Oryctolagus cuniculus: one gene and its partners. The protein of the gene in region 2 binds, or shares a complex with, the protein of the main gene of each other region. Links are inferred from orthologs where the notes say so. Each region holds a gene or a part of one and is shown on either strand. Other genes may lie near its edges.

Region 1 (5,511 bases), on a different chromosome or scaffold from region 2:
AAAGAAACACCAGCATCATGGCTCTGCTGATGGAGATCGGCAATGAGAAGGAAAACCATACGTACCCTCTTCCATGAAGAATTTTTCTACGGGTCCCACCAACTGATTGATTTCATTAAGTTCATCTTGGCTAACTTCTGGAAACGGGAAAACTCCTTTCTAAAAATGATAAACATTTACAAAAATAGTTAGTTTTTAAAAGACTTGTTTATTTATTTAAAAGGCAGAGTTAAGGGGTGGGGGGAGAAAGCAAATATTCCATCTGCTGGTTCACTTTCCAAATGGCCCCAACAGCTGGGGCTGGGCCAGGCTGAAAGGAGGAGCCTGGCAGGCCATCCAGGTCCCCTACGTGGGTGGCAGGGGCCCAAGCACTTGGACCGTCTTCCAGCGCTTTCCCAGGCACATCAGCAGGGAGCTGGATCAGAAATGAAGCAGCCATTCAGCCTGGCGCCTAAATGGGATGTCAGCATCACAGATGGCAGCCTAACCCACTGTGCCACAACACCAGTCTCTGAAAATTTAATACCTAGCAGCCCCTACTGCAGTAATATTGGTGAAAGGGGAAAGAAAAGGGCATCCTAGATTCCTCATCTGGCCAGCAGGACACAACTCACTGCAGTTATAAAGACTACACCAAGCGCTTAAGATGCAGGCTGTCCCAGGGCCATCTTCCTCCCCACACACCACTTTCCTTATCCATAACAAGTGATGAGGACTGTCCCATAGAACAGGAAGTCCAGGACTTGAGTCTGGTCCTGGATTTGCCACTTGCCAACTGCGGCCGCAGCCACCTCCCTTCACCTCACCAAGCTCCTGTTGACTCAAGTTCCTTGTGAGAATCCTGGAAGGCGGAATGAGAAAGGTCTTTTCTAAAATGGAGAGAATCCTACATCAGTTACTTTGAGTTAAAAATGGTGCTGCTGACAGGAGCACGGCGTGGCTGCCAGATCTGACCACGGAGCCTCTGGCCCTCAGTCGCTGCAGCCACTCCCTGTGCTGTGGGATCAGAGAGCAAAGCCCAGCTGTGGATCCACATCGCCCTGAACTTCACCCTGGCACAGCCACTCCTCGCAGGTGACTGGGCAGCTTGCATCATCCCTCTCCGTCCGGTTCTCTCCCACAGATGATTCTCTTTATCTCAGAAGGTGACTGTGGTCACGTGCCCCAGGACATAAAGTAAGTGTTCTCAGCTTCTGGCTCCACTGTTGTCCCACCTGGTGACCTGGAAAGTGACTTAGCTGCCAGTCTCTTTCCAATCCCTGACTAGCCCAGGATTCCCTCCTGCTGGCCCTGGAGAGCATTCCACAGTATCAAAAGCCCCTCTGGCCTTGGGACTCCAACTAACCCTTCGGCAGCCAGCATGGCACCAGGAAGTGGACTTGGGGGTGCCTATTATAAGCTGCCAGGCCCCAGGAGCCCTGCCTGTCCTCATGGCACTGGAGCTTCAGGAAGGTTGTCACAGAAGTCCTCATCCTTGTTCCCAGCCTCTGCACATCTCATTGACCACCTGACTTGTCTACTCCAGCACCGTGCTCCCCAATCTGTCCTCAGCTCTCTGGCCCCAGGACTGCAGGCTTATTGGGGCTACCCTATCCAAAAGCGACAGCAGACTTAGCGGTGTCCTGCCTCTCTGTCACAACCCTCTACTAAGGGGGTCTGGAAGGAAAGGCAGGTACACCTGTCACCACTCTCAAGCCTCTGGAGACAAAGCTGTCTCTGCCCAACAGAGGCGACTGCCCCCTCACACTCCCTTCCCTAGCCTTGTTGGTCAGCTGGGCAATGGCTATGGGAGGAGATAGGGGGATGATCACTGACATCGGTGGGCAGGCCACGTGACAGAATAGAGACAGCCTGGTAACTTGGTGGCCTTGGACCACAACCAAAGGGTAACTGCTACAGGGAGATGCCCCGGGTGCCAGGGAGAAAGAGTTCTTGGACAACAATGGTCAAAAACTGACAGGTGTGCCTCACGGGAGGGGAACTCAGTTGCAATGGACAGTTTTCAAACTTGTAAAGCAGGGAGACCTGTTATTCCCATAAATCTAGGGCAGAAGTCACGTAAGACAGATCAAAGCCAGGCAACTTGATTGAGGCTGCTCATAAGAAGAGAGGCCCAAATCTCACTGACTCAGCCTCCCGTTCAACCCTGCAGGAGCCCCTGGGGCACTCCTTCCTATAATTTTGCCCCAACTAAGGGCAGAATGATGCTCACCAGCCTCAATAACCTGGGGTTCTCTTTCTATTCTAAAAGGCTAATAGTCGCTGCCCTGTTCCTACTAAAGACCCAGAAATGCTGAGGGAGGCCTGACCCAGAGGAGGAGCTGTGCTTGAGCCTAAAGGTGGTCAGATACAGATCTGGGAGGCAGCAGTGACAACTCCAACAACTGGGTTCCTGTCACCCATGTGGGAGACCGAGAATGAGCTTTGGCCATTACAGGCATTTTGGGGAGTGAACCAGCAGACGCATCAATGAATGAATGAATGAATGAGCCCCTTGTAGCTGAAGAATTTCCATGCACTATCAACCCTACAGGGGCTCTACAACACATCTGTGAGGTACACACACCCACCAGCTCCATTTTAAGGCCGAATGAGACAAGGCTCAAAGTCACAGAGATAAGATCAAATCTCAGTCTTCAAAAGAGGATGGTGTTCAGCAGCCACATTGTTGCTGTGGGCGTGGTGCAATCCTCGGAAGGGAGGGGGCGGAGGGCACCTCGGAGCCAGATTCAGGAAGAACTTGAATGGCAGGGCGAGGGGCTAGGGCTCAGCCGCAGAGGGAAACCCCGGGGGGCCCCACAGGTGCCAGGAGCGCCCTGGGCAGAGCGGGATTCAGGTACCACAAGCAAAACCCGCACATTTGGGGGCCGGCAAAGCCCGGGTGAGCGTGGCTCGGCGACCTCTCCCCAGGGCTCTCCCAAGACTCCCTGGAAGAACTCGCGGGGACTTGTCAAAGCCACTCCGCCCGGGGACCCGGCCCCGGCCCCTGGGAAGGCTCCGGCGGGTTCGGATCCCGGGGTTGCGGCACGGACCGCCCCTCGGGAACATCTGGCCGGGCACGTTTGCGGGCTCCGGCCCTGCCGTGACCGGCGAGCAGCGGTCGGCCCGGGGCTCGCCTTACCTTCTCGATCTTGCCCAGGAAGAGCTCCTTGGCGAAAGTCGCGCTCCGCGGGCTGGTGCGCAGCGGGCGCCGGCTCTCCGTGAAGGCCACCAGAGCCCGACAGACTCGCGCGGCCGCCGCCGTGCGCAGGATTAGCCCGCAGCCGCTCATGCTGCCGGCGTCCGCTCCGGGCGCTGAAAGTGCAGGCTCGAGCGCCGCGCCTCAGCCAAGGGCACCCGGGCCGCGCCTCCTGATGACGCCATTGGCCGGCGCCGCCGCACCCACTGCGCTTGCGCCGCCAGCCGCCCCTGGAGAGCGAGGGTGGCTAGGCGGGGTCCGTGCAGTTTTGTTGGGTTCAGGCTCAGGCTTACGGTGGCTGCCGGTCGTTTGCAAAAGTGCAGGCCCTAGGACTATGCTTCCCAGGCGAACGGGAATCTAAGTGCTCCCATTTGCCCCCGTCAATGAGGCAATGCAAAGCAATGCACGGTGTTGGTTACCTCTGCAGGGAGCTCACAGCATGGGGCATGCTTCTTGCTTTTAAGTGGAGGGTGGAATCGCCGGGACCCTTTTGTCTTCCTTTGTAGCTCACGGGGATGTGACGCTGAGCCCCTCTGCCGTGCCTGGCTGTCGATGCTGCCTGCTACCACGCTTTAGTCTCCCACACTCCGACTTCTCCCGTAGCCCTAAGGGTTACTTGTTCTGCTGACCCAGGACAGTCAGCCCAGGACCCCAGAACCGAGCCGTCTCTCCGTGCAGAGCGGGCCGGGAGCAGGGTCTGAAGCCAACCCTCTCTACTTCCCCTCTCCCACCCTTTTCTCCTCGAGGACCCTTCTGCTCACCCTGCCCACCCGCGTGCGTGTTTGCATTCTCCCTTTTAAAGCTTTGTTTGCCACTTTGTGCGCTGCATATGTGCCTGTAGTTAGACTGCTTCTCCAGGGCCTGGAATAAAAATTAGAACTCACTTCCCCGGCCTCAATGTGATTGCAAATCAACTGCTTCTTAAATTCACTTAATTGAGGGAATGGGACATTGAGTCTTGCTGCCCCACAGGGTCCCACATCACAAGATTTGTGAGTTCATTGACCTCTTTTCCAGCTGACATCTTGCTGGATCTTGGTCTTCAAGACCAAGATCTTGGTCTTCAAGGGTTTTTTTGGGAGTCCCAAGCCCTGAGTAAAAAATACCGGCCCGTCTGCTACAAGCCCCCCTAACTGGAGCGTATTTTGCCATCATCAAAATTCCCGAAAGAACCTGATATTGCTGGTCAATCAAAGAAGGGCAAAGATCAGCACAAGAATGAAAAACACTTCTCAATCCCAAAACCATCTATAAGATCTCTGACCATATTTTTTTAAAATAAGCTTTATTTATTTGAAAGAGTTAACAGAGAAGGAGAAACAAGCAGAGAGGAAGAGAAAGATATCTTCCATCTGCTGGTTCCATCCACAATGGCCAGGGCTGGGCTAACCTAAAGCCAGTGCAAGGTGTCCAGCGCGAAACAAATCTTCCCAGCCAGATCAATCAGTTTACAGGCTTTCATTGGGATTCCACTCCTGGGCGAGGTTCCCAGCCCAACAGGGCGGGGCCGGGGAAGTCAGGTGTCAGAGGTTGGGAGGGCTCCTTACACAGGTACAGGGTGTGGGGGTTAAAGGTTGAGGCGGGCCTGATCCTCATTGGTTGACCTTTAGGTGCCTGCAGGGACCTTGGCAAGGACTTTTCATTCCTGGAAGTGGGGGTACGGACTCTCCATTCCTGGAAGTGTGGGCCTTCTCCCCTGCAGATCCCAAAGCTACCAGTCAGGAGCTAGGAGCTTCCTCCAGGTCTCCCAGATGGGTGCAGCGGCTCAAGCACTTGGGCCATCTTCTGTTGCTTTCCCAGAAGCACTAGCAGGGAGAAGGACCGGAAGTGGAGCAGCCAGGGCTCCAACTGGCGTCCATATAGGATGCCGGTGCCGCAGGTGGCAGCTTTACCTGCTATACCACAGCGCCAGCCCCAAGACCCCTGGCTCTAACTCCTCAGGGTAATTAAGTAATAGCTGCCTGGTCCCTGCTCAGTGCTTTGATAATAAATACTTTGTTCTACCACCCCAATGTCAGTGAGTTGGTCCAGGTTTTGGGGTTCTAAAACAAATGTATTTTCCTTGGGGGTGAGGGTGAGGAAAAAGGGAAGACGTGTCTTGCCAAAGGTGGGGAAGGGGAGTGCAAGGTGTCCGGCGCATAACAAATCTTCCCAGGCAGACGAATCAATCAATTCACAGGCTTTTATTGGGGTTCCGCTCCCGGGCGAGGTTCCCCGGTCCCAACAGAGCAGGGGCCGGGGAAGTCGCGTGTCAGAGATTGGGAGAGCTCCTTTTATAGATTCAGGGCATGGGGGTTAAAGGTTGAGGAGGGTCTGATCCTCATTGGTTGACC
Region 2 (5,414 bases):
TGCAGGCAGAGGCTTAACCTATACACCACAGTGCTGGCCCCTCTCCTAATTACTGTTAATCAAAAAATATTTACTACAATGTTTCAGCAATAATTTTGGACCATTTTTAAGAAGTAAATTATCCACAATCCCAATAAAGCACTATTTTCATCTGTCCATGTTTCTGTCCAGTTTTTTAAAACAGGTTTTCTTCAAAACAAACCCAATAAAGTTAGTAGGATCTTAGATACTCCTCAGAAACAATGGCAGTACAAAAGATGTGCAAATAAAGTTATCAACTTTCAGTCTGGGTATCTCTTACTTTTCTTTTCGAAGATATTCAAATTTTTTTTCTATGATTTCGATGACCATTGGTCTTCCGAGTTTTGCATCTCTTAGAGAAGGACTAGGCTGACCACGTGTATATGTTGCCATTCTGATGTCCTGGAAAACACAAAATTCCAGAATCACATAGCTAATGATACTAATACTAACAAAAACCTTAAAATTCTATAGGTTTAAATGAAAAATACATTCAGAATCTAGTAATGTGCCACATACCATGTCATGTGTTCTCACATACTTTCTATGATTGATTCAATCAACATTTAACTAAGATCTTATTACGTTAGACAAAGGCCTTTTGAGTCACACAATAACTTTGAGAAACAGGTAGGATAATAATCATCTCTTGTGTTAAAGATGATAAAACAGGTTCAAAAAGTTTGACTTGTGGTAGGATTTAGTGTAGAAGGATAAATTTCCCAAAATACTAAGTTTTTGTCTTCTGTACAGTTTCCCCATTTCCTCAGCCCAGCAAAGTAGCCAGGCCCTATTTGCTGTAGCTCCTCTGTTGAGGAGTAGAAACAATTGCACTTGGTGACAACTATCTATCCTGTTTCTTTTGAAAGCTGGAGCTCATTTTGGAGATTATGTTGAGTTTCCTGAAGAAGTAAGAGAAAAGTGGGATTATCTTGGAGAATAGTGAGGGAGAAAATCAGACAGGACTCTGTTCTAGGAAGTGGACCATGGCTATCTTGGATTATGAAAGTTATATACCCAGTTTTCTAATTGTACCTGAGGCAGAAGCAGGGCCTTTTACCAGAAATGACTATTTAGTATACCAGGGATCCTAGGCTTAGGACACTGGGCTCTGTAGTTCAAAGGTTCCTATGTTCCCAGGGTAATGAATAGATAGTTGCCAACATCAAGAAACCACGAGGCCTTGGCTGGTAGCATAACAGAAGCCAATGAGGTAAAAACAAACTGCTTTGCTCTGGATAATAAGGCTCTTGGGTCTCTGAAAAGTCTTAACAATAACATGATTCAAATCTTTTGCCATTATGACAATTTAGGGTTTAAGAGTAGTATTTAATTTTATTTAAAGAAGGAAATACGAAAATTTTTACAAATCCAAATTTGGTGTTACAAATATTTACCCATTACAACAGTAAATTATGAAAATTTATTGCTTTTTCCCTCTATCTCCTCTAGACTAGCCAATGTATAGATACAAAATTAAAGAGCCTTCAAAATTTTAACACCAATCTCCATTTTAACAACTTTTATAATGAAGGGTCTATACTAAATTCCAAATTTCAGGAGTTGTGGGCAAGCGAAGCAGAGTAGATTATATATAATGAACAGTTTAGCAGTTCTGAACCTGTAGTGTGCACAATAAACACAAAGGGGTGTTTATTTTAAATGCAGTCTTTTGAGCTCTTTCCTGAGGTATAAGGATTCAATGAGTGGGGTAAGACCTACAAAGTGCATTTTAATAGCACCAGGTGCTTCTACTGTCATGGTTAATGGATGTATGTTGAACACCTGTGAAGTAGGCATTTGGCGTGTAATTGATATGTACCAATCCTAACTGTGCTGAAGGGATAAACCATGCATTGCCCAATGTCATCCACATATATATAGAAGGTAGGGGCTTCTTTGAACCTTCTTATGGTGTTAAAAAAAAAAAAAGAGTAATAATGGACCAGTTTCTTAAACTGTGTCATTCCAGAACAGTGCTTCAGTCTCTTTAAAATATTTGGCAGGAGAGGAAAAAAAAAAACAACAAATTACAATTTTTCAGGAAACAATTGCTTCCCCCTGACATTCACATGAAGAATGGAAGAGAGGAGAGTAGTGTCAAAGAGATTCTGTACCTAGCCCATGTAGTATACTATGAAGTCAGGTATCAGTCAGTAATGTCATGTGATTAACTCAATATGTTACATAAAGTTTTGTTTTGCTGTCTTTCAAATGATTGAAGACCTCCAACTCTCACAAAGAAAACTTGAAGGCAATGTCTTGTACCAATCTGCTACCTAGTCTACACACTCAGTTTTGTATTAGGAAAACAAACACCTAGGAATTTGAATACAGGACATGAGATGAGAACAGCTAATATTTACTGAGTACTTGCTTAGTCTTTGCAAGGCACTATCAAAATAACTGCTTTCCTTACAGTCTCCCCATTAGAAGAAAGGAATAAGACTTTTACCAAACATTGAAAGATAAAGATTTTGTGATAACGAATACTTTATCTAAAAATCAATTAGTCCAAGCTTTCAACTTGTCACTACACTCATACCAATAAGAGTGCATCAATGTAGTTTTACAGTCTGCACAGCGTTTTAAACCTTTATAATGCTTTTATGTATGTCACTTTACCCGACTTTCAGGGTTCTTTTTTTTTTTTTTTTTTTTTTTTTGACAGGCAGAGTGGACAGTGAGAGAGAGAGACAGAGAGAAAGGTCTTCCTTTGCCGTTGGTTCACCCTCCAATGGCCGCCGCTGCAGCCGGCGCACCGCGCTGATCCTGGCAGGAGCCAGGAGCCAGGTGCTTTTCCTGGTCTCCCATGGGGTGCAGGGCCCAAGCACCTGGGCCATCCTCCACTGCACTCCCTGGCCATAGCAGAGAGCTGGCCTGGAAGAGGGGCAACCGGGACAGAATCCGGCGCCCCAACCGGGACTAGAACCCGGTGTGCCGGCGCCGCAAGGTGGAGGATTAGCCTATTGAGCCACGGCGCCGGCTCAGGGTTCTATTCTATATTCGTTTATCATTTAAAGAGCACCCCTAAAAGCCAGGCCTCTGAGTAGCAGGCAGTCAACAACAAAACAAAAACAGGAAATTTAAACGCAGAATGACGGTTCATTTTTTTTTAAAAGGAATATGGTCAAGGAAGAAATATCAACCGGAGAAAGTGATATTTACATGAATATCCGAAAGAGGAGAAGGGAGGAGCAGGGAAGTATTCCAAGTTGAAGGAAAATCCCGTACAAAGGATCGAAAGCAAGAGAAAAGCTTCATGAATAGTCTTTGGGTCTTCCACGTTATCTGCGCTTCCTACGTAGGGGACTTGATACTGCCCTGAATGGGCACGGGCGCTGTTCACTGCAGATTTTCAGATTCACTTTCTGTGAGTCACCTCAGAAGAGGCTGCGAAAGCACTGTCTATACAACTCCGGGCTTCTGCCTACCTTGGGCGCTTCCCCAGTTCCTAATGGTACCACACCGGCATCTTTCACGTCTGCACCAGCCTCACCCCTCAGCGCCGCCATTTTGGCAGCTCACGTGACTTGCGAGTGGGCGGGACCCAGAACGCCCTGGGCTGGAAGTGGAGTTGGTTTACGACTCTCGCCTCTCGCCGACAGCCCGAAGCAGCCCCCACCCAGTCAAAAGCCGCGCCCTCCATCCTCGCTGTGATTGGGCTCCGCGTGCAGGAATTACCGCCACTCATTGGCTTCGTGGGCCAGACGCCCGTGGGCCCGCCCCTCCTGCCCTCCTGGATTTCCTCCCCCTGCTATTTGTCAGTCAACCCTCCCCCTTCTGCAGCCGTGCTGAGCGGCGAGGGGCGTCCCGAGTGTAGCAGTGTTACTGCGCGCCTTCCTCTCCTCAGGGCAGCCCTGTTAGCTGGGGACTAGCCGCCCCCATCCCCTTTACTGCTTGAAGGAACTCGCCTGTCAGACCCAGCCCGTGTGTTAAGGTTCTGATTTCTCGGACGCCTCCTCTTCAGAGCCCCAACACGACCACCCAGCTCCGTCAGAGCAGCCTCGACTAGCCTCCTCCCCTCGCACCGACTACTCCTCTCTCCCAGTCTTTAGTCCCCTCATATTTCATCCTTTCGGCCCCCTCGGAAAGGGACCGGAGAGAAATTTGCCCTCCTTCCTCTCAGACGCTTCCCTTGTCAGCGGGTGTGTTGGGGTGGGGGTTGGGGGCGCCTCGAGAAGGCTTGGCGTTCTTTTGTGCTTGGTAAATGCCCAGCGCGATTTCCCAGACCGACAACCCCCGACCCTCCAGTCTCCATGTCTTAGAGAAGCCAAATTCGAGAGTTATATAATTTCTAGTGCTGCTGTTTCTTCTGCCTGAGGAAACACTTCGTCGCGTGGAGGGTGCAGGACATTTTAGTGCTCTTTTATATAAAAACAGGGTAGGGGCAGGGTGGCCAGCGGTGGCAGAGAGGTGGCTTGTCTTTTCTGCAAAAGGAAGGTGGGTAGTTCGGAGAGATTGAGAGAAAGGGTGGCTGTGGAAGCCAAGCAGCTGCACGCTCTCATTTAGGAAATCGCGGACCGTTTGCACAAGCTGATGCTTACACGCCTAATACTACCACAGCGTCTCTGAAAACACCTTTGGGGGAAGGTTTGGCTTCTCTCGAACTGGCTCAGTGTTTATCCTCGCCGGATAGGGAGCTGCTTGGATGCGAAGAGATGGCATGATGTGAATGATTCCAGTGTGAAGAAATCTGCTTCGCCAACTCATCCTGCATCAAGTGCCCATTGAGTAGCACTGTCACTTTAATGTCTCCATGCCAAGGGATTGCTTTCCTCCTTTTCAATCCTCTCAGTTAATACACGAGAGGATCAGATTCAGAGGGGCATTAAGGATCAAACCGGGAGGGGAGGGTGCTTGGAGAGCACAGAAGAAAAAAAATGAAAGTGACTGCAAGCTGGATCCTGTCTTACTAAGGGGGTGAGATTTGGAACTTCTGGTCCAGTAAATAGAAAGGGGCCTTTCAGTCTGTGTTCTTCCCCAAAGAACTGTTCAAACTTACACATCTTTTTTACCCCCCTCCGGGGGAAATAAGTTTAGGATTTTCTCTAAAGATTTGAAGATCTTTGTAATTAAACAGTTCATCTTTGCATTTGATCCTGTGTAAAGTAATGAGACAGCCATCTGAATTTGGTTTGTGCCTTAATTGAGTTAGTCATTGAACTTCCAAATATGTTACTGCCTGAAGAGGGGTTTTAATAATTTCCTATGCTTACAATAATTTTCTAAGCTTAAAAGAAATAGAATAAATATATTTTTCTCTAAACTGTGGACAGCGTCGAAAGTTTGGTTGTGGAAAAAATACATCATTATTTTCTTTATCTGAAATAGAAGACTCAGTTTGGATTTAAAAACTGAACAGTGAAGTGGTTTGCAACAGTTACCTGGCT
Region 3 (5,588 bases), on a different chromosome or scaffold from region 2:
ACCTCGCGAGAACTGACAAACGACAATGCCCTGAGACCCCAGTACTGCGTGAAGCTGAGGCAGTCAGACCTTTATGGGGTCTCTGTTTCTTTGTTTAAAATGGTAGTAATAATTGTTTTACTTAAGATGAAAAAGGGAAGAAAGTGAAGAGGGCCTAATATCACGTAAAAAGACATGGAAATGTAAACCCCAGGCCACTATGGTCCATGGGACAAACCGAGCAGTTGTTTTCTTAAAAAAAAAAAAAAAAAAAAAATTGTTTATTTGAGAGATACAGGGAGAGGGAGAGGGAGAAGAAGAAGTAGACACAGAGAGAGTGAACTTCAAAGGTCTGCACAGCCAGGGCTGGGCCAGGCTGAAGTTAGGAGCTGGGAACTCAACCTGTATCTCCCATGTGGGTGGCAGGGACCCGAGGTGCAATCAGGAGTGGGGCCAGGACTCAAACCCAGGCACTCCACGGTGGGAGGCTGGAGTTCCAAGTGCTGCTTTAACCATATGCTACGTACCTGCCCCAGATGTTGGCTTTTCTAATAAAGCAGGCCTGTACTGGAACACAGCCACCCCATGTTTTTGCACGGTCTACAGCTGCTTTTGCAATAAGCTGAGTAGTTATTGCAGACCATATGGTCTGCAAAGACTACAACATTTACTATACGGCTTTTCTTAAAAAATGAATTGCTGGCTGCAGTTCTAGGCCAGCATGGTTTTTTTTTTTTTTTTTTTTTTTTTTTTGACAGGCAGAGTTAGGCAGTGAGAGACACAGAAAGGTTTTCCTTCTCTTGGTTCAACCCCCAAAATGGCCGCTACGGTGCTGCGCTGATCCGAAGGCAGGAGCCAGGTGCTTCTCCTGGTCTCCCATGGGGTGCAGGGCCCAAGCACTTGGGCCATCCTCCACTGCACTCCCTGGCCACAGCAGAGAGCTGGCCTGGAAGAGGGGCAACCGGGACAGAATGCGGCGCCCCGACCGGGACTAGAACCTGGTGTGCCGGCGCCGCCAGGCGGAGGATTAGCCTAGTGAGCCGCGGCGCCGGCCGCCAGTAAGGGCTTTTAACAACCCACAGGTGTGTGCTGACTGCTGCCTCCCATGGCTGGTGTTCCTGCGACCAGTCTGTACAAGGGAGAGCCTCGCCACGAAGCTGATCGTAGCTGAAACGTACGCGCGCCCGCAGCAGGCAGATCTGAGCGCGGGGGGCACGCTTCCAAGGGTGCAGAGACTCACCAGGCTGCCTGTGACGACCTAGGACGTCCCCCCGACCCCGACCCCGACCCCGGCAGGGGCTGCACAGGGCGGGTGGAGACGGCCCGTGCTTACGGAGGCCTACTGCGAGCAGACACCTTGCATTTGGTCCTATTCGGATGACACGTAACAAGCACTGTCCCCGCTTCCGGCTGGGGCTAACTGGCCCAAGCTGAGGCTCCGCTAGGTCCTCTGGACTAGGAAATCTACACTTTCTTTCTTTAAGATTTATCTATTTGAGGGCAGAGTTGCAGACAGAGAGAGGTCGAGATAGAGAGAGGGGGTCTTCCACCCAAGGGCTCACTCCCTAAATGGCCGCAAGGGCCGCGGCTGCGCTGATCCGAAGCCAGGAGCTTCTTCCGGGTCTCCCACATGGGTGCAGGGGCCCAAGGACCGGGCCCGTCCACTGCAGCTTTCCCAGGCCATCAGCAGGGAGCCGGATCCGAAGTGGAGCAGGTGGGACTCAACCCGGCGCCCATATGGGATGCCGGCGCCGCAGGCACACGGATGTTTAACTAGTAACAGCCGCAGCGCCGGCCCGAACCCTGCGCTTTCAGCATCTCGCTCCAAGGTCCAGCCACGCGCGACGGGACGGGGAAGGTCACACAGCTGCTGAGGGGGCCTCGGCTGGGGTTCAGGGCTCGCGGCCAGAGAACGGGCTGCTTGTTCTAACCCAAGTTTCCCGACCCCGCCCTCCCTCTCCGAGCACCCCGGGATCTTGACGAGCTGCTTCAGGCCCGTCTCCCGCCGCTGGGGCACCCAGACCAAGGGCAGCCCCTGGAGGCGGGAGGCGGTCCTCAGTTGCACCCAGGCACCCAAGCTGGACGGTCGTTCGTCCCGTCTAGGAGCAGAAAGTGCTCCGTGCCGGCTGCCGCCAGCCCTCTGCGCGCCGCCTACCTGCCGCGGGGCGGTCAGGGTCCCGTCCACGTCGAAGAGGCAAAGCGCTGGTCCCGGAGCTGCCATGGCCCCCGTTTCCGTCCACACCTGAGACGACTCGTTGGCACCCGGACCTCGACCCGGAACTTCCGGGTTCGGCCCTCTTCGCCGCAGAGCACGTCGGGAAGAGACTCCCACAGCCTCCCACAATGCCCGGGGCTAGCGTCGGCCACGGACGCTACACCACAACTCCCAGCATGCAACGCGCGTAGTCCGAGCATGCGCCCTTAGAGTTTCCGGCGGCGGTGAGGTTGTATCCGGCGCCAGGGAGCAGGGCCATGGTAAGGAGGAGGGTGATGGGCTGCGTCGGGGTCGGAGCCAGTGTTGGGGCAAACAGGCAGGAATCCTGAGCTTCTGGTTTGTTGGGTCCTGGGGCGATTGCCCCGATGTGGGTTACGATGTGCTCCTCCACGGCTTGCTGTGGTCTTGCGGGGTCACGTGGGCCAGCAGCGGTGCTAGCGAGCCTCGCGGGGGTGCTCAGGGTGGGCCCCGAGCAGTCGGCGCTGCTTATCCGTGCGCTCCCCATCCATGGATTCACTCAGCTGCCGAGACAGCTGCGTCTGTGCGGAACGCCTACGGGCTCTTGCTACTCCCAAAGGAATCCCCCATAACCACTCTTTACGCCGCGTTTCCATCGTAGTAGTGGTATAAGGTATCACACAAACACTGTGCCATTTTGCATAAGAGACGTGAGCCCTCTGGTTTGGGTGTCTTGTCGTGCATCCCGGAACCAAGCCCCTGCCGGTGCTGATGCACAGTGGTGCTGCGTTTACGGCGTAAAAACCGTTGTCTCGTTCAGTGTGTTCTGAGTGCCCGTTGGTAAAGCCTAACGAACTCACGCAGGTGGAAGCCGAGTTCTGAGAGGAAACGGTCTCTTGTCTCCCTTCCAGGCTGCCCTCCTCCGAGCTGTGCCCAGGTGGCGGGGGCCGGCCGCCTGGGGAAAGCCCCTCTGCGGGCTGTGGTCCTGCGGTGGGCGAGAGGATCCCAAGAGGTGGGTGCGGAGCAGGTCTCCCGGTTCCGAGGAGAAAGCCCCGGGCACAGAGACCGAGAAGTTCCAGATGGTCTACCGTTTCGATGCCATCAGAGCGTTTGGGTACATATCTCGGCTGAAGGTGGCGCAGACGGCCCTGACGCTGGTGGCTCTGCCGCCCGGCTTCTACTGGTACTCCCAGGGCCTCATGCCGCTCGACTCGCTGTGCCTGGTGGGTGGCATAGCTGGCTTCGCCCTGGCCATGCTGTGCTGGATGAGCCATTTCTTCCGCAGGCTCGTAGGCATCCTGTATGTGAACGAGTCGGGCACCGTGCTGCGGGTGGCTCACCTCACCTTCTGGGGCTGGCGACAGGACACGTACTGCCCCGTGGCGGACGTGGTCCCCCTGACGGAGACGAGGGACCGGCCCCACGAGGTGTTTGTGCGCATCCAGCAGTACAGCGGGAAGCAGACCTTCTACCTACCTCTGCGCTACGGGCGCGTCCTGGACAGAGAGCGCTTCACACAGGTGTTTGGGAGACTGGACTCGCTCAAGTGATCAGCTGGGCCTCTGGGAAGCCCTGGGCCCCTTGGGTCACTAACCAAGAAGGCTGAGGGTGTAGACGAGGCCGAAGGAGGGAATCGGGCCCCTAGAGACTGTCAGAACCCTGGGAGTTTGTCTTTTCGGAAGAACACAGAAATTCGGACCCAGGTTTACGGGAAGGCGCCCGAGTGCGGATTCTTCCTGCACTTGCGCGTGCTGTTCTTGCAGATAATGGCCAGGAGGTTCTGTTCGGATCCAGTTCTTGGAGGAAGCTATGCCACGGTCACCCGGACAGTTCACGGGTATTTGGAAGACAGATGTGGGAGGAGCACAGGGTTTGGGGTGCTGTCAGCTCGCTGTTCTGGGCAGCTGACGGAGTCTGTGTGAGCCTTGGTTTCTCACGTCTGTCAAACGGAAAGTTCTTTCTGTCTCGTGGGCTGGATGTCAGAACACACAGTAAACATGCAAGGCCGTAGCCCTGGGCGACTGGGAAGCGTCTGCTCAGAGGTGGTGGTCGGGGCTTTCAGGCAGCGCGCGGGAGCCCTGTGTTCTGCCTCTCCATGCACCCCTTAGCAGAAGAGTGGGACGAAGCGTGGCGGGGGCATTGCACCCTCCCAGGATGGTAACTGCACCCCGAGTGAGGCGCGACGCCCCAGCTGAGATGTTCCGCACCCACAGGCCGAGGCCGTCCCGCTGCGTCATGGAGCCAGATGGGTGTGTGTAGTGCTCTACCTCTGCGTGTTGCCTCCCGTGATCGGTGTGTGTGTCGGCCACGTAGCTTGTAGCAGGGTAAAGGTCTTCGTGATTTTGCCACGCATAAGTCAATAAATTTCGTATCACCTCTGTTTTCATTGTCATGTACTCATCACAAATGTATCGTTGTAACCATGTTAAGTGTACAGTTCAGGGACAGTAAGTACATTTGCAGTGTGGTGTAACCACCCCCACAGTTCACCCCCAGAAGTTTTTCACCATCCCAGGGCCTCTGTACCCACAGAGCAGCACTCGCTCTCCCGTTGGCAGCCACTAATCCCCTTCTGCCTTAGAATCTGCCTGTCTGGACATGGCATGGCCTGGAATCACACAGTATGTGCCCTTTCGTGACTGGCTTCGTTGGCTTGGTGTGATGTTTTCAACGTGTGGGTAGCGTGTAGTGGCATGTAATTCTTCCTTATAGCTGGACGGTATTGTTCCGTGTACTGCCACGTTTGTCTCTGTTCATGTGCTGGGGGACGTTGGGATTATTTTCACCTTTGGGTGCATCCCAAGATGTGGGACTCCTAGGTCCTCTGGTAATTCTGTGTTTAACCATTGGAGGACCTGCCAGACTTTTTACAGTGGCTATGCCGGGTTACATTCCCATTGCAATGTCCAGAGGTTCTCTCCCCTCCCTGCCTCCCCCCTCCCCTTCCCTTTTTTAAAGATTTATTATTTATTTGAGAGGCAGAGTTACAGAGAGAAGGAGAGACAAGATCTCCCACTCACTGGTTCACACTCCAAATGGCCACAATGACCAGCTCTGTCAGGAGCTTCTTCCGGGTGAGGGGCCCAAGGACTTGGGCCGTCCTCTGCTGCTTTCCCAGGGGCATTAGCAGGGAGCCAGATCAGAAGTGGAGCAGCCAGCACTGGAACCAGCGCCCAATGGGATGCCGGTGCTGCAGGCTGAGGCTTTAAGCCACTGCGCCACACCTTCGGCCCCAGGGGTTCCGAGTTCTCTACATTCTCTCCAGCACTGCTTATTTCCCATTGTTCTGCTTATTGCCGTCCCAGTGGCTGTGAAGTAGTAAGTCATTGTGCGTGCAGAGTTTTTAAAAACAGTTGTTCTTTTTTTTTTTTTTTTTTTTTTTTCTGACAGGCAGAGTGGATAGTGAGAGAGAGAGAGACAGAGAGAAAGGTCTTCC

The links. Proteins that work in one complex are often made in the same cells at the same time.
Region 1: TMEM126B (region 2) and ACAD9 share a complex: the UniProt entries of both Homo sapiens proteins name them as parts of the mitochondrial complex. The link is inferred for Oryctolagus cuniculus from reciprocal best matches to the Homo sapiens genes TMEM126B and ACAD9.
Region 3: TMEM126B (region 2) and TMEM186 share a complex: the UniProt entries of both Homo sapiens proteins name them as parts of the mitochondrial complex. The link is inferred for Oryctolagus cuniculus from reciprocal best matches to the Homo sapiens genes TMEM126B and TMEM186.

Annotation. Positions count from the first base shown.
Region 1 is NC_091441.1:111,793,397-111,798,907, forward strand, and holds the start of ACAD9 (complex I assembly factor ACAD9, mitochondrial), read right to left. Parts: upstream 3,358-5,511; 5' UTR 3,272-3,357; coding exon 3,122-3,271; intron 160-3,121; coding exon 66-159; intron 1-65. UniProt on the Homo sapiens protein: As part of the MCIA complex, primarily participates in the assembly of the mitochondrial complex I and therefore plays a role in oxidative phosphorylation.
Region 2 is NC_091432.1:76,706,493-76,711,906, reverse strand, and holds the start of TMEM126B (complex I assembly factor TMEM126B, mitochondrial), read right to left. Parts: upstream 3,633-5,414; 5' UTR 3,537-3,632; coding exon of another isoform or gene 3,456-3,536; 5' UTR 3,286-3,455; coding exon 3,190-3,285; intron 424-3,189; coding exon 302-423; intron 1-301. UniProt on the Homo sapiens protein: As part of the MCIA complex, involved in the assembly of the mitochondrial complex I. Participates in constructing the membrane arm of complex I.
Region 3 is NC_091450.1:27,394,946-27,400,533, forward strand, and holds TMEM186 (transmembrane protein 186), read left to right. Parts: upstream 1-2,329; 5' UTR 2,330-2,451; coding exon 2,452-2,454; intron 2,455-3,063; coding exon 3,064-3,702; 3' UTR 3,703-4,531; downstream 4,532-5,588. Other genes in the region: PMM2 (phosphomannomutase 2), read right to left, coding at 2,135-2,200. UniProt on the Homo sapiens protein: As part of the MCIA complex, required for efficient assembly of the mitochondrial complex I.